Schizosaccharomyces pombe: one gene and its partners. Changing the gene in region 2 together with the main gene of any one other region gives a genetic interaction. Each region holds a gene or a part of one and is shown on either strand. Other genes may lie near its edges.

Region 1 (6,575 bases), on a different chromosome or scaffold from region 2:
TTTTTATTAATATCGGTAAACTGACATCTAAAGAACAGGTGTAAAATGGTATGCTACCAATTGATTTTTTTCATTAACAAGTCAATTTAGTACGCCAGCTGGCATCATTAAGAATGAACAACTGGGTAGTGTATTACATGATTGTCATGCTGAGATTCTGGCATTAAGATGTTTTAACAGGTAATATATACAATTATTTGTATATTTGTTAGTATTCGTTACTAATAAAAGAATTAAGATTACTTCTCGAACATTGTATTTTAATTAAAGAATCAAAGAAAGATACGTGGCTTCTTGAAGTTGCTGATAATGGTAAATTTACTCTAAACAGCAATCTTCTGATACATCTGTACGTTTCCGAATGTCCTTGCGGAGATGCGAGTATGGAGCTACTAGCTAGCCGCTTGGAAAACAACAAACCATGGAACTTAACAGTTGATTCAGAGAAATTAATGCGTGGGAGGGCGGATTTTGGACTACTTGGAATCGTGCGTACTAAACCGGGGAGACCTGATGCCCCAGTAAGCTGGAGCAAAAGCTGTACTGATAAATTAGCTGCAAAACAATATCTTTCTATTTTGAATTCCCAGACCAGCCTCATTTGTGAGCCCATCTATTTATCATGTGTAGTGCTTTATAAAAAAGTGATAGTTAAATCAGCAATTGACAGAGCATTTGGACCCTTTGGTCGGTGCGCACCACTTGCTGAATTTGGAGAAAAGGATAATCCTTATTACTTTCATCCTTTTACCGTGCTGGAAACGGATGAAAATTTTTTATATTCACGGCCGTTGAACCAAGCAGAAAAAACTGCAACTAGTACAAACGTTTTGATATGGATCGGTGATAAAATGCAGTGTACTCAAGTGATACATAATGGTATTAAAGCGGGAACAAAAGCTAAAGACGTTGAAAAGTCTCAAACATTAATATGTAGAAAGAGTATGATGAATTTGCTGCATCAATTAAGTCAATCGTTGACTAATGAAAAAAACTATTATGAATGGAAGAAACTCAACATCAAACGTTGCCAGCAAAAGCAAATTCTTCGTAATATCTTAAAAAACTGGATCCCAAACGGAGGGAACGAATTTCAATGGATATAAGAAATCTAGAAACCTCAATATAAGATGTACGTATGAATTAAGGCATTAAATAAAACGAAGGATGGCTTTACCAGCGATAATAATTTTATTAACGACTGACTTGTTACATAACAAGTAAGAAATAAAAGAACGTGTTGCGAGGAATTAAAAGTTATTTTTTGCATTTCAAAATAATTCACATATAGAAATCTGTCAGAAAGGAAATGAACGACAACTAGAGTAATTAAAGTATTATAAAAATCATCTCATAACATTATTCCATAACTCGGTTTAAAATGTAAAAAGAAGGATCATCGAATTAAACCATAGTCTGAAAATTGCTTGCTGTGACTTGCAATACGCCTTACTTCGGAAGATGATGGATGAATGTTTTCTGGAGTGTTGGATATGGATACTGGAGTAGGCGGGCCAGTATAGTAATTTGAATTTGGTTTCTGAGCGCTTAAATGCTTTAACGGTGTAGAATTGCTTTTAGAAAGTGATTTTGGCCGAATGCGTCTAGGCGTTTTATGTTGTAAAAGAGATACGCTACGTGTCAATTTACCATGACGAACCCACAGATAATGAGAGGAGGAGCGTGATAGCGTACGAGAAGGGGTGCGTAAAGGAGAGGTATAAGGATCATACATATGTGTTAGATCATCAGAACCGATCGGTCTTGGCGTTGTCAAACCATTCTGATCATATATCGACTTCGTGGGAGATCCCATGGAAAGCCTGCGATTCCCTGAAAGATGTAAGGACGGAGGCTTTCCAGAAGAAAGCGATCTCTGGTTCCATATGGAGGTAACAGGTTCAGAGTTTGGACAATTGTGAAGCTTCGTTTTAGCGACAATGGGAAGATCTTGCAGAGGGGAAAATGTTTGATTAACTTGTACTTTATACATAGCCAATTCAAGACGTAAGCGTAAGTTTTTAGCACAACACTGAATGTCGTCTAAGTGATTATTGTTGGTATTGGTTTGTACTGGTGTCTTGGGTTCTAAATGTGTTTCTTTTTCCTGTTTCTCTCCTATCTCAGTAGAAGATTCTTTTTCCTCTTCACTCTCCGTACTACTAACAGATTTTATTTTTAAGACTGGCTCTTCACATGCATTTTCATCTGCAATTTCTACTGCACGCACATTTCGAGATCGAACCGCAATCGGTGAAATCGTCCCTGGAGCCGCATTCTCTTTTCCTAATGGTCTCTGCATCGGTGTTATAGGAAATAAATGTTGCACATTTTTTCCTTTTCCATACTCATACACTTCGTTTGTTGGCCTTTCCCCCAAAGTGTTTAAACGAGATGGGGTCAATGGTTCCATTGACCTATCCATCTTGTTATTTTTTCTAAACGGAAACCAATATAAAGATTCCTAGTAGCAGAGAATCAGAAGGAAAAGTAATAATCAGAGACAGTTTTTTTGCGACTCGTCGATTGTTGCGTACTTGTGGCACGTATATAAGCGGTGTCCAACGCAACGCGACGCGACGCCCTTTAAAGCGCGAATTCGCGATATAGCGCGTTTTATCAGTTTGCTCATATCCTCGAGTTTATTAATTATATTAACTTTCAAATTTTTTAAATAGCTATCAAAAATGATGCTATAAAAAGTAAACCGCAATTTGCATTATGAAGAGTGATTTACCTGTTATGTTACCGATACACAAACTCGTTCATAACTTTCCTATAGTCATTTTACAAGGTTAAGAAGGCTTTATTCAACGTCCGTTTCAATATCCCTGCAAACGACATTTGAAAATGACAAAATCAATTGGAATAATAAATGGAGTATTTGTGAATTGCACAGGCAGACCTACCGTACACTGAAATATGCTTTTGTTATGTACACAATTACTAAGGCTGATATTTACAGATTAAAAATAAGATACGTTATATCAAGATAACAGTCGGTAGACGATTTAAACGCGCATCTTCTTAATATTAGTTGTGAATAGATACGAGAATGAAATTTTTTTTACACACTAGTATTCGACCATTTTGAAAAATATTTAGTCAATTCATCGCAAAATGTGGATCAAAAAAGGGAATGCAACCACAGAATACACCTTAGACCGCTTTAATGATAAGAATCACTGAATAACCTAGAAACCCGAATGATGCTCAATGGAAAATAAACAAAAAGGGATCTGTAAGATAACACACACCTTTCCACATACGCTTGACAACGAAATTTCATCCAAGACCAATCAAACGCTCCACATCAATAGGCTACTCTCAAGTCACCAGTTCATCTATGCAAGAGCGGGAAAGTCAGTCTCAGAAAGGGTGGGAGGTGCCTGTTGGGTTTTTGAGGCAGTTTCTGAAGGACCACGACGGGGAGCACGGTTAGGACGGCCACCGCGAGCAGGACGAGCAGTAAAAGTTTGCTCGATATCAAGAAGAACCTTCTTTGGCTTGCTTTCCTTGGCAGCAGACTTCTTTTGAGAAGCGCTCTTCTTAAGAGAGGCAAACAATTCTTCGGGGGCACTCTTCTCGACCTTAGTAGCGTTTTCAAGTTTCTCAACAGTACGACCAACAGGCTTTGCGGCGGACTTGCGTTCAGACAGATATTCATCAAGAGTCTTAACATTTTCCTCCTCGGCAGCAGGAGTTTGGGCTCCAGAGGGAGTGTTACCTTCGTTCTCTGCAACATCAGGGTTAGCAGCAGAGTTTACGAGATCACCCCAGCCACGTTCAGTAGCCTTCTTGGTATCACTAAAATAATGGTTAGCAATTATATAATTTGGCATTCACATGTAGAAAAATAAAACACATACACTCTACCAGTTTGGCTATGGCGGTCAAATTCACGACCACGGCGAGCACGAGCATTGCGGCGGTTGGAGGGGGCGCCAGTGGCATCCACAGGATGGGCAGCGTTGTTAGCACGAGCTTCTTTGCCTTCACGAGCAAAGGCTTCGTTTCCTTGAGGAGCTTGACGGCGTCTGCGAGGTTGGTCTGCCTTCTTATTAACGGTACGCTCACGAGGAGTGGGTTGGTTAGGGTCACGCTTCCTAGAGGTGGTGCTTTGAGCGACTAATTCGCGGGGGACAGGAGGGCTGTCGGAGCGCTTTTTGTCACGAGAAGCAGCGGTTTTCTTCTCGGTAGTAGTAGCTGCGGGAGTCTCCTCTCCGAGGAGGTCAAAGAGGTTCTATAATTTGGTTACTACTTGCGAAAACAAAATAAAAATCAGCAGAGTCTGCAGAGCTAACACTCTAAAGAATAATGAACGAAATGTGAATTTATATTTTTTAATACTTGAGCGTCTTTATACAGGCTATACTTCTATAAAGTATTTCATTCGGGTCGCAGTAATGAAACCTTAAACACAGCCCTAAAACATGCTACAAATAATTACCAGTTCGTTCATTTCCTAACCCTTAAAATAATCGTTTAATGATAAAATGTTTAAATCATACCTTGGATGCAACAGACATTTGGAAGCTGGAAAGTTAATTGTGTGTGTTCAGTTACACAACTACAGTCATCCAAAAAGCAGTCACTCAAACTTAGGGTAGGTTGAAACAAATGATGTGCTTTGTCCATCATCTTACGGTAATACCTAAGGCTATCTTAAAATTACAGTTATTCAACACAATGCCTGTCTTTTTTCTATGATATCGGAAGCACTTGGCTTACAATTGTCAATATTCGTTTTATCGAATCATTCATTTCTTTAGCATTAAAATAAGTTTTATTAAGAAATATACTACTGGTAAAAAAAAGCTAGGCAGTCTAAGTAAGAATTAATTACATTATATTTTGAAACAAATAATAAATTAATTCATTCAATGTAAAAAGACTGGTACTAAAATCGTTATAAACTAAATCCAACCAAGTAATAACTTGAGACGATTAACATTAAGCATCAATATCGATTGGGTCATCAGAGGAACCTTTTCCCATTGTTCCATTTGTTTTGCGAGAGGCACGTAGAGATGTACCGGCACCTTCAAACTTAAATAAATTGGGGTCTTTCTTAGAATCTTCTTCAATAGAGGGTGCTTTATAAGGATACCCAAAGAAGTATGTACCCAATGGTAGGATCAACGGAGCAGGACATTCTTGTTTCTCAACATCGAGCAAATTTATTTTAGGCACTTCAGCAACTTCTTTACCATTTAGTTTAGTCCCTGTTCCCTTCATCAAATTCGAATCGCCCTGCCTCACCAGCTCATCGTAACCAATCTTGGTAACCATCGTTCCTTGAACGCCAGCAATATTTTGCTGCTTGTTTTTTTGCAAACTTTCTTCATAACCGATGGGGGGATCAAAATCAACTACCAAATCGGTTTCTACCACTGAGACAACATGGCGGGAGTCATCAGGTTGAACATCTATAACTTTTATTTGATATACCTGGTCGTTATACAAAATCTCAAATATATCAGATTTTGTAAGCGTACTGAAATTCCTAAGCGCATTTTCCAATACCGCTCTGTGGTCCGTGATATCAAGAAAATTCACGCTTTGAGGCTGTAATTTGACATAGCTGCCCTGTGCTATATCAGTATTTATAACTCGAACCAAATCTCCAGGCTCAAGGCTAAGTGTAGTCATCATCTGTGCCCTAGTTAGTACATTTCTGACAGTCTTTAAATTTTTTCATACCCAATAAGGCAGGTAGACACGTCCCTCTTCCGCAATAAATTCTAACACACCCCCATGAGTTTTTTTCTCTGCAGCTTCGTTTTCAAAGTCAAAAAGCATGGGATAACTGACATTCAGGCGTGCTAATAGTTAATTAACAGATTTAAAAGGCTTAATAAATTCTCTTCGCATTACGTACATAGTTTTTCTAAAGCTGAAGGTGGTAATATTACTAGACGTAGTTGTTAATACTAATAATCCCCAATAACAATATAAAAAATATTGAGCAGAGAATGTTAACCATAAGCAAATGCGCAAGCAAGCGCTCAAAGATAAAATCACATGAACTTCATGAGTATATAAAATCAAATCTCCAACAATGTGAAAACTTAAAAGTATTTTCAAACCTTACCTTTCCCACCATAATTGACATTTGGCCGTTCCTCACCAGGAATCATGGCAACAGGATAACAGCGGTAACGAGTATCAAATCGCTGATTTACATTATTATGAAAAGCTGACCGAAGTTGAGACATCATGGAGAAACCATCATCGTCGCTTGAGAAAAAGCTGCCGCCAAACTAATACGTGAGTAAGTCAACGTACGCATTCTCTAAAAAAACCATACCATATTTGCTTTTTTTGCGAAAAAAGGAAAGAGTAACTATGGTTCTCCCAATTTTTTATAATGCAACGTAAATGTTGTAGTGCAAGCAAAATACACTTGATGACTGAAAGAATTTGGCTATGTACAGCATTCGTTGACGCAAATGCCACTATTTGGGACCAAGGCAAGAAGTTAGTTTACGAAATTTAAGGAGGTTCCTCAAGGTCTTTAACTGTTTATAAAATAGTACCTTGTAATATGTTATCTGAGCCTACCATATGTGAAG
Region 2 (10,917 bases):
AACTTGGGATTCCATAAAAATCCAATGCCAGCAAATGTTAGCATACAACAATAAAAAAGAACTATCGCTCGAAAAGAGAACAACATCGTGAAATCAGAAGACGACAAATGAGCAACTATTAACTTCTAGAGACTGTACTCCGTGGTTTAGAAAGAGAATGTAAAACTAATAAGTTTTTTTCGGAAAGAAAATGTAGAGAGTTTCGATGAATATTTCGTTCGTACTTTTGTTTTCTCAACGTCGCACCAATTATATGCACCTGATTTTTGCTATTTTACGGTAGTATCAAGCTCTGGGAAGTATGTACTCTCAATTAATGGTTATATTACGATAGTTGAACTTAACTTCACTATTGTTGCTAGTTGCCAGCGCTCGCTATCTGTATTTAGAATTAGAAGGTGAATTGAATTGAGAAATATAATCAATATAACAAAATTACAAGTATACGTTTGGTTTTATTTCTTCAAAGTTATTTTGGTATGAAAAAGTGAGATGCTGACAGATTTCAAGTCAAGAACTCTATATTTTTTAAAACCACTTCAACGAATTTTAGGATCTTGAAAAGTACATCATTTTTACTAATTATAGGAGGGTATTTTCAAAGGATATATTGTATGTAGCATCTAAATAATTTTTATGAAGGTCTCAAAGGGTTGACAACGGTTGTTTTTGGAAATACATTACATTGACCATAAACTGAAACGATGTATTTTACAAAAGGCAATTCAATTTTACAAACTTTCAGCTAAATATAAATTATGCCAGGATTCTCGTTCATTTGACTAGAATGTGTGCTTGTGATATTTGTTCTCGCATTGGTAAGTGCCCCGAAACCTCTTTGTAAGTGGCACCGTACCACAAATTGCATACATACAATCTATTATATCAGATATACAGTTTTATCTTGGGTGGTAGATAATAGATATATAATTTCCAATTCATATTTATATTGTTTTACCGGTTGATTGAAATTTGCCAACCAATTTAATAAAAAGCGTTTGTCAAGATGCCAATAGATACACCGTTGATACCCCATAAACCTATTTCAAGATATCGCTCTGGTAGATTGGAAGGGCTGGAAAGTGAGTCTTCTTCTGAAAGTGATTATGAAGAAGTTTCCGATTCACATGATCAAGAAAACTCGATTTCTTCATCAAGACATGTTATTACTCCAGTATTCGAGAAAGAAGGAATATCTGAAACCAAAACGTCTTCTAATTTCCAAAACATTAACCCAGTCCAAACAATTGATAACTCTGCTTCAGAATATGAGACTGACGCATCATCGGCAGAAGGGGGATCTAACTCTGCAGCATCTAGTTCTGAAGAAGAAGACTCTTCTGATTCGGAATATGAGATGGAGCTGAGAAGGCGGACACTTCTTCTTCCGCCAAAATTTACTAGTAAAGTCATCAAAAATCGGGCAAAAGCCAATGAAGAAGATACTGAGGTGCTTAAAAAAGTGACTTCACAAAAAATATTAGAAGAGACTATAAAACGGGAATTACTATTGAAAGAAACTAAAAACAATAATGAATTATTAAATGATATCGATGATACCGATGGAATTGATCCGCAAAGTGAATATGAATTATGGAAATTAAGGCATTTGCTTAGGAAAAAGAGAGACAAGGAAAAGTCACTGGAATTAGAAAGGGAAAAGATGGCAATTGAAGAAAGAAGATTAATGAATTCTGAGGAACGCGAAGCCCAAGATTTGAAGGACGCTGAAGCAAGTCGGAGAGGAAAGAAAAAGTCATCTATGCAGTTCTTACAAAAGTACTATCATAAGGGTGCATTCTATCAAAACGAAGATATTGTGAGTAAAAGAGATTATTCAGAAGCCACAGAAGGGGAAGTTCTTAATAAAGATTTATTACCCAAACCTATGCAAATTAGGGGAGATCTTTTTGCGAAGGCAGGCCAAACACGCTGGACGCATTTGGCAAATGAAGATACTACAAAAGAAGGATCTGCTTGGTATGATCCTAAAAACCCAATCTTGCAAAAAAATTTGCATCGTCTCGGTGGACTTCATTCTGACAGCCCACTCTCGAAGCGAAAACGTACCTAACATCTGTATATACATAAGGACAATTTTGTATTTCATTTAGCATTAATTTTATTTAACATCACATATATATTTAAATACAACATTCTTCTGAATTAATATCAAATGTGCACCACCCTTCCTCTTTGTAAGTGTTTAGCATAAGCATACCAATTCTTACCTTCCCGCAGTGCAAAGAGTACAACACATTTTTCGCCTTGGTCACCCATGTTACGAAGAGGTGCGCTTTCCACAATATTAAAAGGTTTAAACGGCCTTTCACTGCGTAGTCCCATACCGATTTGGCATGTTTCAGCTTCTCCCGAAGTTGGGTCGAAATATAACCTACCAACGGTTCCTACAACTTCACACGTTTCATATCGTCGTAAGTAAATTAAATACTTCTATTTCTAACTTCATTGCGTAGAAATCGCAAAAGCAAATTTCTTTGCTGGATATCGACCTTTGTCAGCTAATCAAATATGTGTGCCTAAAGTTGAGTCCAAAACACAAGTTTCGCAATCGCAGGATGAGGAAGATCAACCCCAGGAATATGTGTTATCTTTAGAGGATGGCTATTTGTATGCTCAATCATTCTCTGCATCTGGATCCGTAACTCAAACTCAACCCGCTCGTATATCTACTCAAGTATGGGAACAAATATGTGATAAGCTGATTTCTATTACACCTTTAGATTTGACCAGTGTCAAACGAAAAAGAAAATTGAAAATGAATAAACATAAGTTCAAAAAGCGCTTACGCCGACAACGAGCACTTAGGAAACGTCTAGGAAAATGAGATTATTAGAACTTATTTTTACTCGGGTTATATTTTTAGGTTGGTTGGATTGAGAGTTTAAGCTGTAAACAAGCATTTTCAAAATGGCTGCAAGCATTTATGAGTCTCTATTTTTAACTTGGATATCAGTACCTCTCTTTTCTTAAGAAACGTTTAATCATTTAATGTTTACTTCAGGCTTTTTTAACAAGGAATACATTTTCTCTCATGTATATTCTATCCTTTAATGTTCCGGTATGAGACAATTAGGTCGGTGCTTTTTTCTTGCGATAAAATCATTAAACAATCCGCGTTTATTTAACTATTTTCAAAAAGCGGAGCACTTATTTGTTTATGCCGGCTATCTCCTTCATATCAATTAGCTTCCCATGTCTAGTACTATTACAATACCTCCATCTTTGGCCCTTCCTTTTTATATTTTTAAATATTTGTCGATGGCTAGAATTAATGACATGTACACTTCATGTGAATCATAAATATGTTGTTGTATATCAAGCAATTAATAAACGCTTATTACACTGTATCTGTTTACACATAGAATAAAAGAACACATTGGTATGAAAAATAACTTTAGTAGTCGAAATTATTTCCTTAAAACAATTTTGAAAAAAAAAAAAAAAATTTCTACATTTCTTTCTTTAAAAAATGTTCTCACTGATTATAGCTAATTACAATAATGAAATGTAACGTACTGACGACTGACATAACAAATAACAACATAAGGAATATTGAAGAGCGTCCAACTGTATAATTTTTAAGGCTTTTGTTAATCTTGTCTTAACCGATCAAGTTATGCCAACATGCTTTCTAGAGAAGAGCAAAACCGGTGTTTCGTTCCTGTCCGACGAATTTTAGACAATGAAGACTTAAAATTATTTAAAGAAGGAGATGCTTATAAGTTAATTGATTCGTTTATTTGTGATCTTGACGAAGCTGTGAAAGACAAGCCTATTTCAGCTTCAATTCCGCAAAGCTCATCAATAGAGCATGTATTAAATATACTAGATCGAGTTGGAGAAATTAAACAGGAAAATCCTGCAATTGATAATATGGGGTCGAGGTTTGGCAATCCTGCATTTCAATCATTTTACGATCAGGTATACATTGAAACACCAAAGTTGCACCAAGTATTTGGAATTGAGCATAATGCGGCGATGGAGGCAGGTCGATATTTTTATGAAAGCTTTGGAAACAGAAAGCGAATAGATTATGGAAGTGGTCATGAACTTTACTTTATGTCATGGTTACTAATTTTAAAGCAACTAGGCATTTTTACTAAAAATGATTATCCAGCATTGGTCGTTCGAGTTTTTGTTAAGTATGTTGAATTGATGAGGTCTTTGCAAATTTTTTATACTCTCGAACCAGCAGGATCTCATGGTGTATGGGGATTAGATGATTTTCATTTCCTCCCTTTTTTGTTTGGTGCAGCTCAGTTGGTTAATCATAAATATTTGCGTCCCAAACATGTTAGAGATCCAGAAATTTTGGAGATGTGTCGCGCTGATTATATGTACTTAGGTTATGTTTACTTTTTAAATAAGTTGAAGCCTTCTGTTTCACTACGTTTCCATTCTCCAATGATTGACGATATTTCTGCCGTAAAGACTTGGTCTAAAGTCAACGAAGGCATGATAAAAATGTATAGAGCAGAAGTTTTGGGTAAACTTCCTATAATGCAGCACTATCTTTTTGGCCATTTAATCCCAGCTTCACCTGGGATGTCTCCTGCTCCCCAAGACGGTGATGATTCTGAGGTGACACATGTTCATTCTCATTATGCTGACTGTTGTGGCATCAAGATACCAAGTGCGATCTCTGCTGCCAAAAATAATGGAAGTAGGATTCCGTTTGATTAAAAATTCTCGAGGGAAAAAAGGCGTTTTTAACGAATCTTCACGAATTTATGCGATACCCATATTTGTCTGTTTACTTTAAAAGTAATATCTAAAGTCAATAAAATTACCAACAGTACAGCATATTTGTTTATTTCATTATGCTAAAAAAACTCTACATAAACAATCAACCCTAATTTTAGCAGCATTAATATAGCCATTTCATCAGCACAAAACCCAAAATAATTGTCGTTTTAAAAATAAGGTGACAAATCATAATTTTGAGTTCTGAAATAAAAAAATTTGGAAATATTTATTTTCGTTAAGAACCCAAATTTGTCAAAATCATAATGCGTGGAAAAGTACAACTTTTATATAACATCTCTTTAATTTTAAAGGGATAATAAGATAAAGCTGATATGTTTAGGGGAGCTCGAATAAACCTTATGAATTTGCTGCTAGAAGCAGATACATGGAATGAATTAAGGATTTACATTAAGAAGCAACCCAGAACCACTGGAACTTTGGGCATTAGAACCAGCTCCAAAGGGAAGATAAGTGACCTGTGCACCTTTATTAGCAAGTGCAGTAGCCACCTCTTTACTTGTCTCGAGACGACGAATTTGGATTAAAGCGCCACCGGCTTTATCAAGTGCTTTGGAAACAATATCAGCCGCTTCTGCTTCACCCTCAGCGCGAATAACATTAGCTTGTCGCTCTTGTTCGGATTGTTCTACTAAAAATCTAGCACGCTCGGCTTCTTGTTGAGCAATTTGTTTTCTCTCTACGGCTTTCGTAAATTCTTTTCCAAAAGTCATATGAGTAATGGATACATCTTCCAACCGAATTCCAAATTCGGTAGCTCGTTGAACTAGTTCTTGGCGAATTTTGGCAGAAACTACTTCTCTTTGAGTAATGAGCTCTGCTGCATCAAACTGAGCAACTACGGATTTTAAAATTTCGTTTCCAATAGAAGGTAAGACACGCTCATCATAATCTAAGCCTAAATTTTGGTAAATTTGAGGAAGCATTCCAACTTCGGGACGGTGTAATACACGCAATGTTAAAGAAACCATCTGTAAATCTTTACTACCCGTAGTAGTTGCGATATTTCGTGGACGTGTGCGTACATCATAAACAATTGCCTTTTGTAACCATGGAATCAAAAAGTGTGTGCCCTCCTGAACAACCTGTTTCTGCACACCCGACAGACGGTCAAACAAAACTGCTCTTTTTCCCCCCGGTACATCGTAAATCGAAGATTGTAATAGAGTAAATCCAATACCTATTGGTATTGCATAACGTGCAACTCTCTCCAGTACTACAGCCATCTCTTTAATAGTACGTTGAGCGCTGGACTAAAAGACCAAACTGAAAGGGAAGTCCGTTTGAGCAAGACTAAGTATGACTTAACTGCAACCTCTAGGAAAATCTATATTCATGATTAATAAATACATGATCTTATTATTTAGAATTTTAATAGTAAAACTAAATAAAAATCTTGAATAAAAAACCAAGAATTTGTAAACGTCTGAATTATTATTGGTCTAGCAGACCCGCACACTTACCCTTAACAAACATCTGACTTTGTAACGGCAATCATCAATATATTATTGTTTTAACAAAATGGGTGGTGCTGCTGGAGGAAAAACTTATTTGTAAGTGCAACTTAAAGCAGTTTCTGTTTATAATGGGTTATATGACTTTTCTTTGACGCTTATAGCGTGAGACGGTGGACACAATTGGTGTTTATTTCGTAAAGCCATTTTCGTCAGCGAAGTTATATACATTCAAATAGCTGCTGAGAATATCATTGAACGTTTTTATTTATACTAACACATGAATAGAGGATGGTGGGGCCATCTGTAAGTGCTATAACAATTTGATACATTTTTACTTACTTTAATAAGAGGTGGACCTAAACAAAAAGGAATCATAACATATTCCCTTTCCCCATTTCAACAGAGACCAATGGCCGGCTTCTTCAAAACTTCTACGCAAAATATGTTTCGTCGCGTCATGACTGAAGGTCTATACGTAGCAATTCCGTTTGGAATAGCTTACTATATTTACTGTTGGGGGAAGGAGCGTAATGAATTCCTCAATTCCAAACATGGAAGACACGTAAGTTAATGACTGAAGAATCGATAAGCAGCTATGGTTTGCAGCATTTTTCTATACTTCTAAATTGTGTCAATAATTGTCATTTTACTAATATGTGGTTTAGTTGGTGGAGGAATAATGATGAGAATGAAGTATTCATTTTGGTAGAAGGATTTACAAAATTCTTCCCTACCCTTTCCTTATTGGGTTTACAATTACTATCTCTCTCCTCTCATTATGCTTAGTATCAGAAATCTATATATCCAACAAAATTACTTTGTGATATGATCTATCTCTTGAATTTGAAAACATTATTACTCTTAGTTTTGACTTTCATTTGATTTTGTCTTATAAAAGACAAGTTGTAATGCTGAAACAGCGTCTTCTTCGCTATCGTGTGTAGAAGTTTGTATTGTTGTTCCCAGATATTTTTTAGTCAAATATTTTAAGGAATATCTAAACGGCGGGCCTCTGGCATGCGTAAATAGAAGAGCAGTATCTATGACACGTTTGTGAATAAGCCTCATCGCATTCAAATCGTTTTCTAAACCATGTCCTATTAAAATTGTATTTTTATTCATGCCAAGTTCCTTTATTTTAATATACATTTGATCCATGGTAATTCCTGATTCTAATTCTTTGGCATCATGTATCCCGCTAAATCGAGTATTGAGACTCAAAATTTTGCCTTTAGGCTTTATAAACACATCCATAATAATGCTTTCCTTTGCTACCACCGTCAAACGAGCCAATTCCATCCCGTTCGTAGTGTAGCATAGTTCACAATCTAACGCGCAATGACTTAATTGCTTGCTATTTGTACTGTCTGGTAAGTAGGAAAATGGATGAACGCTAGCAAGATACGGAAGATGTCGGTATTTGAACACATGGTTGTCTTCTATAATACAACCAGACGAATCGCCCTCTTTTACACCACAGCAAGTGTATGTACGAATCTTCTCCCCCCCTTGCTTTTCACGAAACAGTTTTCCCCAATGATATGTACATGGTCCTCGAGGATCCGCAAACCGTGTACCACATCGATCGCATTCACGAAGTTCATCTGGCGGGTTTACTGGTGCAACGTCTCCAATATTATATCCCCATAGAATCAATTCTTCTTCCGAATGAACAAGTGACTCAAGTTTCTCATCAGGAGTTGATCCTTGTATTTCATTTTTCTTCGGAGCTTTCTTAAGAGATAAAATTTTAGACTTGCAGGAGGAACTGTATATCATTTTACTGTTTGCAGTTTCACAAATATTTTTTTCATCGAGAAGAGCAAGCATACTACTTTCTGCATTGGAATAGCCTAAATCCTTGTAAGACTCATATAACAAATGTGTCATTCGTTTTCTCAGTTCATGCCCAGCTGGTGAGTTGGAGTCATATTTAGGAGTAGGAATGATATTGGAAGACGCTCCTTGAGAATCTGAATTAGTACTAATGGCTGATACAAGTTGCTTCTTCTTATTAGGAACGATGGAAATGGCATCATTAAATAAAGAACGCTTTTTTAATACAGTATTTGTAGGTAGATGCGTCGTTTGATGATTCAACTGCTTGCATTTGTAAGTTTCTAGTACGTCCATACGAAAATTCTCATTCTTGGTTTCTTTAATGGAATCATTTGTCTTCTCCAAATTTAAAGTGGTGGATATATTTTGCCTAATGTTGAAATTAAGATTTTCAACCGAATGATAAGGGATACAGGTCGTAACTATTGGAACACAAATAGACAGTTTACAATTATCGTATTTGTAAGGAAGTGATTTTTCAATTTTAACTTTTGGGTACCCTTCAACATTTTCGGAATAAGGTGGTGAAATCTTTGTTGAGTTTTGAAAGTCATGACTAAAGAAACAATTCCTAGACTGACATTTGCGTCCAGTTCGTAGAAATGGACAAACTATGTGCTTAAACTGACCCAAAGGTGAAAACATTGAAGCAAATTAGGTACAACAAGTAGGCAGATTTCCGTTGGGAATTTAGATAAAAATTCTCAAGCAAAATATAATAAAATGTACCGCTACGAACAAAGATACCATGCACCCGCGAAAGAACCTCTTCAGCCAAAAATAGAATGGCGAAATCTTGAAATTCGTAATAAAAAACAAAGACTTTTTATATCATAACCAAAACAATTTCTCGATTAAAATCATTAACCATGGCTTGCAAAAAGCCAAAGTTTTTTCCAAAGAAATATGAATGTTAGTTAACAAAAAGGATAGCTAAGACATTAATGGTGGTGATCCCCACCGCGCAAAGGTGCGCTAAATCAGGGAATATTTGTAAAGTTAATTAATGAAAAATTATGCAGGGTTGACACAGTATAATTCAAAGTTAGTTTATATGAAAAAAAGGAATGTAAAAACTGCCATTTAAACCAGTAATTACAGGTTTATTAAGAAATTAGCCGGCTTTTAGAAGGCTTAGGTTTAGCAACACGGCCATTAGAAGTATTGTTAAGTGATGACATGCTAACACTTCGCTGAGCACTTTTTTTAGAATGACTAGACCCACTAGACCACCTATTTCCACTTGTACGTCGAATTGGACTACCAGTTGGTGAGGATGTCGGAGAACGAACTCCATTTGGTTCGATATTGCTTTGACTTGATGAGCGACGCAAGCGAACCACTGAAATTGTTTCAGTTGGAGTTCCAACAGTCCGTGTTTCATCATCATTTTGTATTTCTGAATCTTCGTAACTACTGTATGACGCTTTGTTCTCATTTTGGATTGATTGCTTGGAAGCATTTTTAAGTTTCTCATTAAATTTGACAGAGGACGCTGAAGGGAGACGTCTCGCCGACGGTGGATTATGTCCAGAAACTTTTCTCGGTTGGCCAGGCGTTGGTTCTGGAAGAGGAGTACTGATATTGCTTTGAGAGGTACCATTCGTAGCATTCAATGGATGGCGAGGAGGAGTAGCTAAGGGTTCCGCAGCGGTGGCCTGTTGGATTGCTCTTCCCATCGCCTTTTCGTAAAAATATGCACGGAAATGAACTTGATTAATATGTAACCAATGCTGTTGTGGACCTACAACCATTCCAGGACGCATTATTCTCATGTAAGCAATAACTTCATTAGCAGTAAAACAATGTTTGTATATTAAATATGCGCCAATTAAGCATCCAGTACGTCCGAGCCCTGCTTTGCAATGAACAGCAATCACACCGTCTTCTTCTACTTCCTCGGTAAGGTCAATAAACTCTTTGACAAGAGAAAGCTCTGGAACTGTGCCATCCTCAAAATACATCTCTTTATGTCGAATTCCAACATTTTCAAAAGTCTTTTTATCGTAAAGAGGTCCATTAAGCCTAACTATCAGTTTGACCTTATTAGCGACGAAATAATCGAGAACTATCGCAAACGGTTGAGGAAGTTTCTTTGGACGTGTGCTCGCATGATTCCAACCAGCCTGAATAGGACTTGCAAATGCTATAAACTTAGGAGATATCCAATTAAAATCTCCATTCTCCACTCTTTCATAAGTTTCATAGTCATGAACATCGATATTACGTATATTTAGTATGCTGCTCTCTCGTGCTCTCCACAGTCCGTAAACACAATCTTGAATCGTGATATAGTAATCTGAAACAGCATATCCCGCATCTCTAAACCCCAAAAAAGGAGGTTCTGCCTGAGCTAAAGGGGCTAATGCGAGATGTGGAGGCCAGTTTTGTACTAACACCATGTAGCAAGCTAACAAACAAGCGGCATTTGCACGCAACCTTGTATCTGTAGAAGAATATAAAACTATAGCCTTGCTTTTCTTAGCTTGTCTGTGTTTTCCCATGATACCATGAACTATCACTGCAAATCTAATAAGATGACTCACGTTCAGCGGACCAAAGTCATGATAAAAAGGGTTGTAGATCAATTCATCATCGATAGTAAAAAAATGCATATGAGGATATAACTCGGCTTTAGGTGGTTGCGACAATGATGTGTAGTATAACTTGTCTATTTAACATGTTAATCAATTTTACGAGATATTTGAGTTAAACTTCATGCATACCCTCCAAAAACTCAATCATTTCACCAAGCCCATCATCTTGGTAATCCATCAGACAAGTAATTGCGAATCTCGTCTATATTCGTCAAACCCGTAATGGTTGAGTTCTA
Region 3 (9,357 bases), on a different chromosome or scaffold from region 2:
GCCTTCTCTAAAAAGAGTTTACGATATAAAGGCGCATAACTCAAATTGTTTCTGTATTGAATTCAGTCCGGATAACAGGCACCTTGCCATTGGTGGTGCAGATGCAATTACTAGTTTATGGGATCCACAAGAACTGATTTGTGAACGGTCGATTACTAGAATGGAGTATGTAGTTTCTTTTAAATTTTTTGGTCGCTAACTTCTAAAAAGTTATCCCATCCGTACATTAAGCTTTAGTTATGACAGTCGCTATTTAGCTAGTGGATCAGAGGACCGCTATGTGGATATCGTAAGTATTTCAGGATGTTTGAAACCGTTTCTTATTTTTATTCTTTTTAATAAACTAACTTGGAAGGCTGATACGAAAACTGGTGATCAAATTTGGAAAATTCCAACTAATGGACCTCTGAACAAGGTAGCTTGGCATCCAACAAAACATATTTTAGCATATGCTGTATCGGAGCCTAATTCTAGTGGTCTTAAGATATTTGGGCTATAAATGATTGAAAATTGGCAATCTTGTTCACGCTGATCAACAATAAAAAAACGGCTACTTAGTATTTACCCTATACTCTTAGCATGGATACCTTCAATATTCATTGAAGTTGTAGTTTTAGCTTATTTGGTACCAAAAGTTTTGAAGAATGGAAGAGAAAAATACTGTTTCTTTATCTAAGCATATTGAACGTCCAGTAGAAGTTGTTGAAAGTCATTCTACGTACATTTTAAGTGCACAAGGACTTTATCTTACAGAACGCGTTTTAAGAAGTTATTTTAAACAACCTGATCTAATTATTACTTGGAAGGATAGTATGAGAGCTTACCTGACATTTTCTTCGCCGCAGGAAGCTCAAAAGGCTTACTTAGATTCACTTCGTTGGGGCAGTCAACTGAATGCTATCATTAAACCATTCTACGGTTCGCACGATGAGGTACTTCGTTTATGTAAAAGGAAAAGAATTATTCCACTACAAAATTTCTTGACTTCAGGTTAAACAGATAAATTAGAACACAGCTTAAACTTACCGGAAAAATTAATCGCAATCCAACAACTTTTCGGACAGCCGAGTGTTTTATAAAATTTCGTTTGGCTAAAAACCTAATTTTAATCTTTTATTAACCCAACTGGTTTAAAATTGCAACTGTTAGTTGGCTTAACAATCTCGATTGATTTGAATGGCACGGGCTATTTCTTCTATTGCCTTTGTATAAATATCACTTTACTATTTTTATACAAATGGAAAATTTTTATCTGTTCTGTTGGTTGCTCGCGTTTTTGAAAATGCTATCTATTCAGTGTGTTTTAAAAGAGCTGTCAAACAAACGAAATTTCGAATGATCTGTAAGATGCTTAGATGATTATATTCTTGATATTATTTATTCATGGCTATCTAATGAGAATAAATCCCTTGGTTACTACTTTGTTATTTATATGGAAGATTTGGCTGCTGGATATTACGTTAGATATAATATTCATGACTTAAAAAAATAAAAAATAAAAACAATAGCTACTTTGGGTTCGAATACGTAAACTTAAAAAGCTGATACAATCACTAGAAAATAATAACCATAATAAATGCTCTTCTGTAAAATTTTCCTTTTAAAAGAAAAAACTATAGATATCTTTCATGAAAATGCTTGCCTTTACTTTTCATTAGCCGAACCATCTGTTACATCTATTCAAACATGCCCTTTGTTTAACCCAATTAGTCTCCAGATGTTTTTTTTTTCTCTGTTTAAGTAAAGCACAACGTCTAGGAGAACTATTTAATTAATGAGGAACCCTTAGTAGAAACTCGTATCTTGGTGCTTCAGAGAAAGATTGAGTAATGCTTCAATGATACAATGAAATAATGAGTTTTTTTACTTTTTCAGCTCTTAAATTCATATACTTTTTAAACAGTTATGTGATAAATCATTATTGATCCAAGGAAACATTCAGTCCAAATTTGCTGTCCACATGCTAGCTTCGTTTGTGTATAGTATTTGAAATAATGGCATTTCTATGCATTGGACCGGTTTTACGCCTTGGCACTTCAGACTACAGCTATAGTTACTACCAGTACAATATACGGAATTGGGACCGTACCCACGAGGTTACCAATTCCCAGTTTGGTCGACATTCATTCCTATATTCGTTTTATGCTCGGATTATAAGGAATCGTCGGACATATGAAATTTTCATATATAAGCAGTTTGCCGAAAGGCCATAACCACATTTGTTGTAAACAAGCAGGTAGGTTTCTCAGCAGTCAGGCGGATTTGAAGAAATATTCAGAATCACTATGCTTGCCAAAGACTTCGTTTCCTATTAAGCCAAACGTTAAAGGAAATAATGAAAAGTATTTCAAATCCATCACATCAGACCTGTATGAATGGCAGAAGGAGAATTTGAATAAAGAAGATTCTTTCGTGCTATTAGATGGGCCTCCGTTTGCAAACGGTCGACTGCATATAGGTCATGCTCTAAATAAGATTTTGAAGGATATCATCAATCGTTGGCAATTGCTGAAAGGCCGTTCTGTGCATTATGTTCCTGGTTGGGATTGTCATGGTTTACCAATCGAGTCAAAAGCTATTAAAGCAAACGCCGAGCGTAAAAGTTCTCTTGAAATTCGAAAGATTGCTAAAGATTTCGCAAATTCGGCCGTTCAAGAACAACTCATGATGTTCCAACGTATGGCTGTAATGGGAGATTGGCCTTCTAGGTACATCACCATGAGTGACAAATTTGAAATAGCAGAGCTTAAGGTTTTCTTAAGTTTGTTACAAAAGGATCTTATATTTCGTCAAAATAAACCTGTTTATTGGAGCTCTTCAAGCAGGTCCGCTTTAGCTGAATCAGAAATAGAATATGATGATAATCACGTCAGCACGTCTATCTACTTTACGTTTCCGGTGAACAGTTTTTCTATCGATGGATGTGAATACAATAATGTAAAGGCATTAGTTTGGACAACAACTCCCTGGACCATTCCTTCAAACCTTGCATTATCTTACCACCCTGAAATCAACTATGGTCTATACCAGCACAATAATTCGATTTATTTAATGTCTGATAATTTAGTTCCAAACTTGGATTTTATGCAGGGAGCTAAGCGTCTTGCGAGTTGCCCTTCAGATATTATTTCATCATTTACATATGAGAACCCTCTATTACCGAAGCAAAGCTTTCCATTTTTACAATCTAACTACGTTACTAATGATATCGGTACTGGTATAGTACATGTCGCTCCTGGCCATGGAATGGAAGATTATCTTCTAGGACTGGAAAACAATTTGCGTCCTTTTTCACCACTCGATGATTATGGTCGATACACTAAAGAAGCTTTGGATGGAAGCCTTGAAGGATTGGAAGTTCTTGGTGATGGAGGAAAGAAAGTAATAAGTATTATGAAAAATCAAAATATGATTGTTAAGGTCTCTCCTTATAAGCACCGCTACCCTTACGATTGGCGAACACATAAGCCATTAATTTTACGGGCGACCCCTCAATGGTTTATATCATTGGAGAATGAAAGGAAAACTGCCATAAAAGCACTTGATAGTGTAAAAATGATTCCTCCAAATTCGCGCGCCAGACTTCTTGGTTTTTTGAATGGCCGTCCTGAATGGTGCATTTCTCGCCAACGGGCATGGGGTTTACCCATTCCTGTATTGTATGAGAAAGGAACTAAAATCCCCCTACTAACTGTGAAAAGTGTATCCTATATCATTGAGAAAATGGAAGTAGAGGGAGTTGATTCTTGGTTTAATGATACTGAAAACAATGGGCATGCTCAGTGGGTTCATCCGGATTACAGAAATAAGGAGTATATTCGTGGCACTGAAACACTTGATGTATGGTTTGATTCTGGGACTAGTTGGACTACAATAGCACCTCGTAAGAATAAACCGCTCATTGACCTTTGCTTGGAAGGAAGCGATCAACACAGGGGATGGTTTCAGTCACTTCTTCTCACATACACTGCCTACCAATCAAAACCAGAAGCACCGTTTTCTACTTTGTTTACGCACGGATTTATCTTTGATGAAAGAGGTCAGAAACAATCCAAGTCTTTGGGCAATGTAACCGACCCTGAAGATGTAATAAACGGAAAGCTTTTAAAAGGAAAAAAGCTTCCATATGGTGTTGATTTACTGAGACTTTGGGTTGCATCATGTGACAGTACGAATGATACTAACCTGGGACCGAACATTTTGACGCAAGTTGGTGAATCCTTAAAAAAGTGGAGATTAACATCCCGATTTTGTCTTGGGAACTTACATGACTGGAATACCTCGAGCTCAGTTGATGTTGGTGAATTACGTGGTATTGATAAGTTGGCTTTAGTCCAACTAGATAAATTTCAGACTGAAATTCGAGAACTTTATGAATCATATTCAATTAACAAAGTTGTTCATCATCTCAATTATTTTATGAACTCTTTCTTATCCTCTACATACTTTGACGCCGTAAAGGATCGTCTGTACGCTGATTTACCCAACAGTGTATCTAGGAGAAGTGTTCAAACTGTCCTTTATCATTCATTACTTACGCTCATTTGGGCCATTTCTCCCATTACTCCACTTTTGGCACAGGAGATTTGGCAAAGCTTACCCGATAGTTATTTGAATTCTTCTTACCAAACTCCTTTTCACGCTGGAGAAACACATCTTATAAGCAGCTTAAGGTCAAAAGTTGATTTACTTGATAGAAAATTTTTAATTAAGGAATACTTGGTTCTTCAACAACTTAAGTATAGTATTAATTTGTTGATTACCGCAGCTCGTGAAAATCTAACTATTAAAAACTCATTAGAAGCTTATGTCGTTATTAAGTCAAAATCTCAATCTTTATTGAGTTTTTTAAAAAATTACTCTTCCGACCTTCCTTTTCTGTTCAATACATCGAAGGTATTTATTAACGAAATTCCCGAAAATCTGAAATTAGCTTCCGTTACACAACCTGAAGTTCAGTTGGATTATGGGGTTGCAAATATCTCTTTATTTTTTTCAAATCAACAAAAATGTCTACGTTGCTGGATGCATACAGCTCATGAGGACGGATTATGTGACAGATGCGAATCTGTTTTGGCCCAACTGAAACGCTAAGAAAAAAGCTGAACGCTCTTTATTATGATAATTTTTGTACCATAGTCATTTATTTTTGTAATACTTAATTAAAATCAAGCGACAATTCATTTTTTGTATTATTTTATTTTACTGTAACATTAGTAAATAAGGAGACATAGTGAAGGCCATAAGTTTGGGTGGTTTTGGGGCTAACAGTTGACCTTCGCAAACTAGCAAAATGTCAAAACGCGGTGCTGATCATCAGTTAACTAAGGATCAAGATGATTCTGATGATGACCGTCATGGTCCAGTTGAAGTTCCTAAGGAGGCCTCCGCAGACGTGATGGCCACAAGAAAGTATGTAACGATGAAACATAGTTCTTCAATTTTTTAGGTACTAATGTATTAGAATTGCAAAGCCAAAATCTAGAAAAAGACCAACGAGCGGTGTTTCTTCTCCGGGAATTTTTGCAAATTTGGCAGCAAAACCGGTGTCTTTACCTGCATCGACTACGCAATTTACATTTGGAAAACCCGCGGTTACAGCTAATAATGATTCAGATATTCACTTGAAAAAACGCGGTCTTAATAAATCATTTATTGACGCTGTTATCAAAAGTGTTGACAATAATCCCTTTGGTAATTTGAGCCCTCTGTTTGATGAATACAGGCAGCATTTTTCAAGTATAGAAAAAAAGCCAGCAGAAGGTAATGCGTTTATAGTTAGTACTTCATTTCTTTCTAACGTTTTCTTAGAACAACCAACTTCAAATGCTGTTGTGTCTGAGGTAAATCCTCAGCAACAAAAAAGCCAAGATTCTTCTTCTTTTGTTACAGAAAAACCAGCTTCTTCAGAAAAAGAGGATAAGGAGAAGCCCCTTGTTCCCCCCGGTGCTCCTAGGTTCGGATTTTCTGCTCCAGCGCTTGGTAGCTCTTTCCAGTTTAATTCATCGGCTTTTACTCCTAAAGGGTCATTTGGTGAGAAGTCCGCAACAGAAGCGGAAGCGAAGGAGAAAGAAACATCTTCTAATCAAACTGCCACTGGTACTGCCGCTACCACAACCAACCAGTTTTCATTCAATACTGCCGCTAATCCTTTCGCTTTCGCTAAGAAGGAAAATGAGGAATCAAAACCATTAACTCCCGTGTTTTCTTTCTCAACGACTATGGCTTCTGCGGATGCTTCAAAAGAGACCAAACAAACCCATGAAACTAAAGATTCAAAGAGCGAAGAATCTAAACCCTCGAACAATGAAAAATCCGAGAACGCCGTTGAACCTGCCAAGGGAAATACTATGAGTTTTTCTTGGACTCCTGATAAGCCTATCAAATTTGACACACCTGAGAAAAAATTTACATTTACCAATCCATTATCGAGCAAAAAGTTACCGGCCTCTTCGGATGTGAAGCCTCCTAGCGCTGCGGCTGTCGGCTTTTCATTTGGAACTACTACTAATCCGTTCTCTTTTGCTGCTCCGAAATCTTCTTTTCCTACTTCTTCTACTCCAGCTTCTGTTGGCGCTGAAAAAAGTGAAGAAACTTCTAATGGAAACAAATCAGAGCAAGAAGAAAAGGAAAACGGAAATGATGAAACTCGATCGAATGATTCTCTAGTTTCTGGTAAAGGAAAAGGCGAAGAAAATGAAGACAGCGTATTTGAGACAAGGGCCAAGATATACCGTTTCGATGCTACTAGTAAATCTTATTCTGATATCGGGATTGGTCCATTAAAAATTAACGTAGATCGTGACACTGGCTCTGCTCGCATCCTTGCGCGTGTCGAGGGAAGTGGAAAACTTTTGTTAAACGTTCGTTTGTGCCAGGATTTTGAATACAGCCTGGCTGGTAAAAAGGACGTAAAAGTACCTGCTGCTTCTACTGATGGAAAATCAATTGAAATGTATTTGATTCGTGTGAAAGAGCCTAGTACTGCGGAAAAGTTATTAGCCGAATTGAATGAGAAAAAGGTCTCAAAGTCAGAGAACTAGAAAGCAGTGATTGATTCAGTCACTATTTATTCCTTTATTTTTGGTCTATTAAATGTACATAAATCTAATAAATTTTTCGGAAATATATTGTCAAGATTATCAATTTAATACTGTCATTCGATTTTCATTTGTGGATAGGGATATACACAATCAGTCTTTTACGAAATGTGCATACAAATATGAAATTCCCGGAAGCATACATGCTCTCCAAGTACATTGCCTTTATGGAATATTAAATTGGTTAAGCTAGTCATATCTTTTCTTTTTAAATTTACGCAGAACATCAAAGTTTTACGGAACTGATTTAATTATCCTAATTTTCATCTTATGAATGATTGATAAATTTTTGAGTGAATTTTAAAACTGTTGTATATCGCCAGTGATATATCTTGAATTGATTGATTCAATAATCGGTTTCGTTATTAAATTACTTTTGTCTATATATTGGTTCCGGATTTTCAAACACCTGCCTAGCTTTTAGAAGGGTCAAACCCCCTTATTGAATAAGTATCTTGGCGCGAACTTTTAATAAAATAAGCAAGTAAATGAGCCACTATCAATTTCGAATTGTTAGTTTTTTGAAAAAAGTAACTTCAACAAATACGTTTGTAGCGAATTTATCGCTTAAAGTTGATTTTTTTACTGTAATTGAATACTGTATTGGACCGGCTATAATTAACAGCTTAATTTTACAAGTTAAGAGTTATAATCGATAAGTATAAATCATTTTAGGGTATCAATTTTTGACCATTCTAACACCTAATTTTTTGCATGTTTATCATAGTAAATACCCTAAAACATCCAAGTAAAAGCATAAATAATGACTACCAAAACGAGCCCATAAATAAATTTTTTAAGAGAATGAAACAAATTGTTCTAACCGAGCTTAAAGTATGAAATATTGGCTTAGCAATAATTAGATTCATGACAATTCGGATACTGATGAACTTTAACTATGTTCAAAATTTTGGGATTCCTCATCCTCTTCATCTTCTGATATATCCTCTTCATCGACTGGGTAAGTGAGAATGGCGGCAATACCTGACAACAGATCCAGCTGCTTCCCTGACTCATGCAAACTACTGAAAATATAAACAGGACAGTTAATCTCCTTAACACCTTCTACTAATGAAACCCATTTTTTTCTAGTAGCAATGTCAGAACTCCTGAACAGAGAATCGCTAATCAGAAGTTCTCCGATCGCGCCAAGTTCAAAAGCCTTCAAAACATGATTTGGACCATACCATGCCTTTCTATCATCTTCATTCATGACATCGTAAAATTTATTCAGAACGCGAATTTCTTGTACGTATTTTGTGTCGGCTAGTTTTGATTCAACAGCAGGGTCCTTCAAAATTTCATTAAGGGAATGAATATGACCAGTGCTAGAATGAAGGATGACAAATTTATTCTTTGATTTAACAATTTGTTTCAAGTCTAACTTCACGGCCATGCTGAATATGTAGTCATACAAGCCTCGAGCCACAAATCCTGGTGAAGCAAGAATAACGACTTTCAATTTATCAAAATCAAATTCTGAGTTAATGGATTGAAAAACAGAGTCATAAAATTTATCAAGGCCCTAAAAAATTGATCAGTACGGACGAAAAATCAAAGTCTAAAAATTTACCTTTTGGTAAGCGCTGCTGTCCCCTCTCCGTTTCCTTGGAATCACTTGATCAATCCTTTGACGCAGGATGGTCATATAATCTGTAATGAGACAAATATTGGCAAGACCTGCAAGTCAGTAAACATGCACGAACTAATAAAGCGATGTAAGCCAAGAAATTTACCTTCATCTAAAACCACAGCACCTATTTCAGCATTTCTTGAAGGATTACAAGCAGCATCTACACGGTCCAATGCAAATGCATCCCATTCATTTTTATATAGAGTAAAATTGCGATGTAGTTCTAAGTCCAAGGTATGGTAGGATCCCATCTTAACTTCAGGATGGTATTCAGTTGTCCGTCCTTTGATGTGCAATTGAGCAGCCTTTGTATCAAAGTCCATATTCTCAACTAAAATACGTAGTTTCATCACAACTCTTGAACCTGACGTACTTCCTGTAGCGCCAACTTTCACTACACGACTAAACAACAGAAAAAACAGGTGTTATTATCGAACATTGAAGATACACTTTATTTCATACCGAACTGTAGAAGCCTTCAGCTGATCTCCAACTTGAAGAATATTATACAAATGCCTAAACTAAGTTAGTTTGTGCATTGATTGCAGATATACAGCAACCAGGCATACCACATATCTTCTGGCTCTTCAGGGCACATGGTTATCCATCCGGAGCCATTTTTTT

The links.
Region 1: mutations in rex3 (region 2) and nrm1 together harm fitness less than expected from each alone (positive genetic interaction), as found in Schizosaccharomyces pombe (one large-scale study listed by BioGRID).
Region 3: mutations in rex3 (region 2) and nup61 together harm fitness more than expected from each alone (negative genetic interaction), as found in Schizosaccharomyces pombe (one large-scale study listed by BioGRID).

The regions. Positions count from the first base shown.
Region 1 is NC_003423.3:4,281,892-4,288,466, reverse strand, and holds the start of nrm1 (protein nrm1), read right to left. Parts: upstream 2,524-6,575; 5' UTR 2,426-2,523; coding exon 1,397-2,425; 3' UTR 1,107-1,396; coding exon of another isoform or gene 239-1,106; 3' UTR 181-238; coding exon of another isoform or gene 91-180; 3' UTR 49-90; coding exon of another isoform or gene 34-48; 3' UTR 1-33. Other genes in the region: tad1 (tRNA specific adenosine deaminase), read left to right, coding at 34-48, 91-180, 239-1,106; oga1 (protein stm1), read right to left, coding at 3,345-3,807, 3,870-4,243, 4,512-4,529; Hrd1 ubiquitin ligase complex subunit Ufd1, read right to left, coding at 4,954-5,655, 5,704-5,825, 5,882-5,914, 6,095-6,263, 6,311-6,313. UniProt on the Schizosaccharomyces pombe protein: Negative regulatory component of the MBF complex involved in cell-cycle-dependent transcription.
Region 2 is NC_003424.3:4,760,801-4,771,717, forward strand, and holds rex3 (exonuclease Rex3), read right to left. Parts: upstream 9,000-10,917; 5' UTR 8,730-8,999; coding exon 7,107-8,729; downstream 1-7,106. Other genes in the region: SPOM_SPAC1782.02C (uncharacterized protein), read right to left, coding at 1-86; splicing-associated factor Saf3, read left to right, coding at 1,007-2,074; cox24 (mitochondrial 37S ribosomal protein mS38 ), read left to right, coding at 2,279-2,435, 2,478-2,848; ypa2 (serine/threonine-protein phosphatase 2A activator 2), read left to right, coding at 3,649-4,707; prohibitin Phb1, read right to left, coding at 5,166-6,014; qcr8 (ubiquinol-cytochrome-c reductase complex subunit 7), read left to right, coding at 6,310-6,341, 6,531-6,548, 6,594-6,807, 6,911-6,925; Cdc14 family protein phosphatase Clp1, read right to left, coding at 9,191-10,755, 10,811-10,859. UniProt on the Schizosaccharomyces pombe protein: 3' to 5' exoribonuclease required for proper 3' end maturation of MRP RNA and of the U5L snRNA.
Region 3 is NC_003421.2:729,158-738,514, reverse strand, and holds nup61 (nucleoporin Nup61), read left to right. Parts: upstream 1-5,273; 5' UTR 5,274-5,293; coding exon 5,294-5,412; exon of another isoform or gene 5,413-5,464; coding exon 5,465-5,763; exon of another isoform or gene 5,764-5,811; coding exon 5,812-7,043; 3' UTR 7,044-7,644; downstream 7,645-9,357. Other genes in the region: THO complex subunit Tho3, read left to right, coding at 1-165, 211-289, 356-499; protein Thc1, read left to right, coding at 645-995; ism1 (isoleucine--tRNA (Ile) ligase), read left to right, coding at 2,173-5,094; dom34 (translation release factor eRF1 family protein), read right to left, coding at 7,993-8,625, 8,674-8,780, 8,837-9,135, 9,196-9,249, 9,303-9,357. UniProt on the Schizosaccharomyces pombe protein: Functions as a component of the nuclear pore complex (NPC).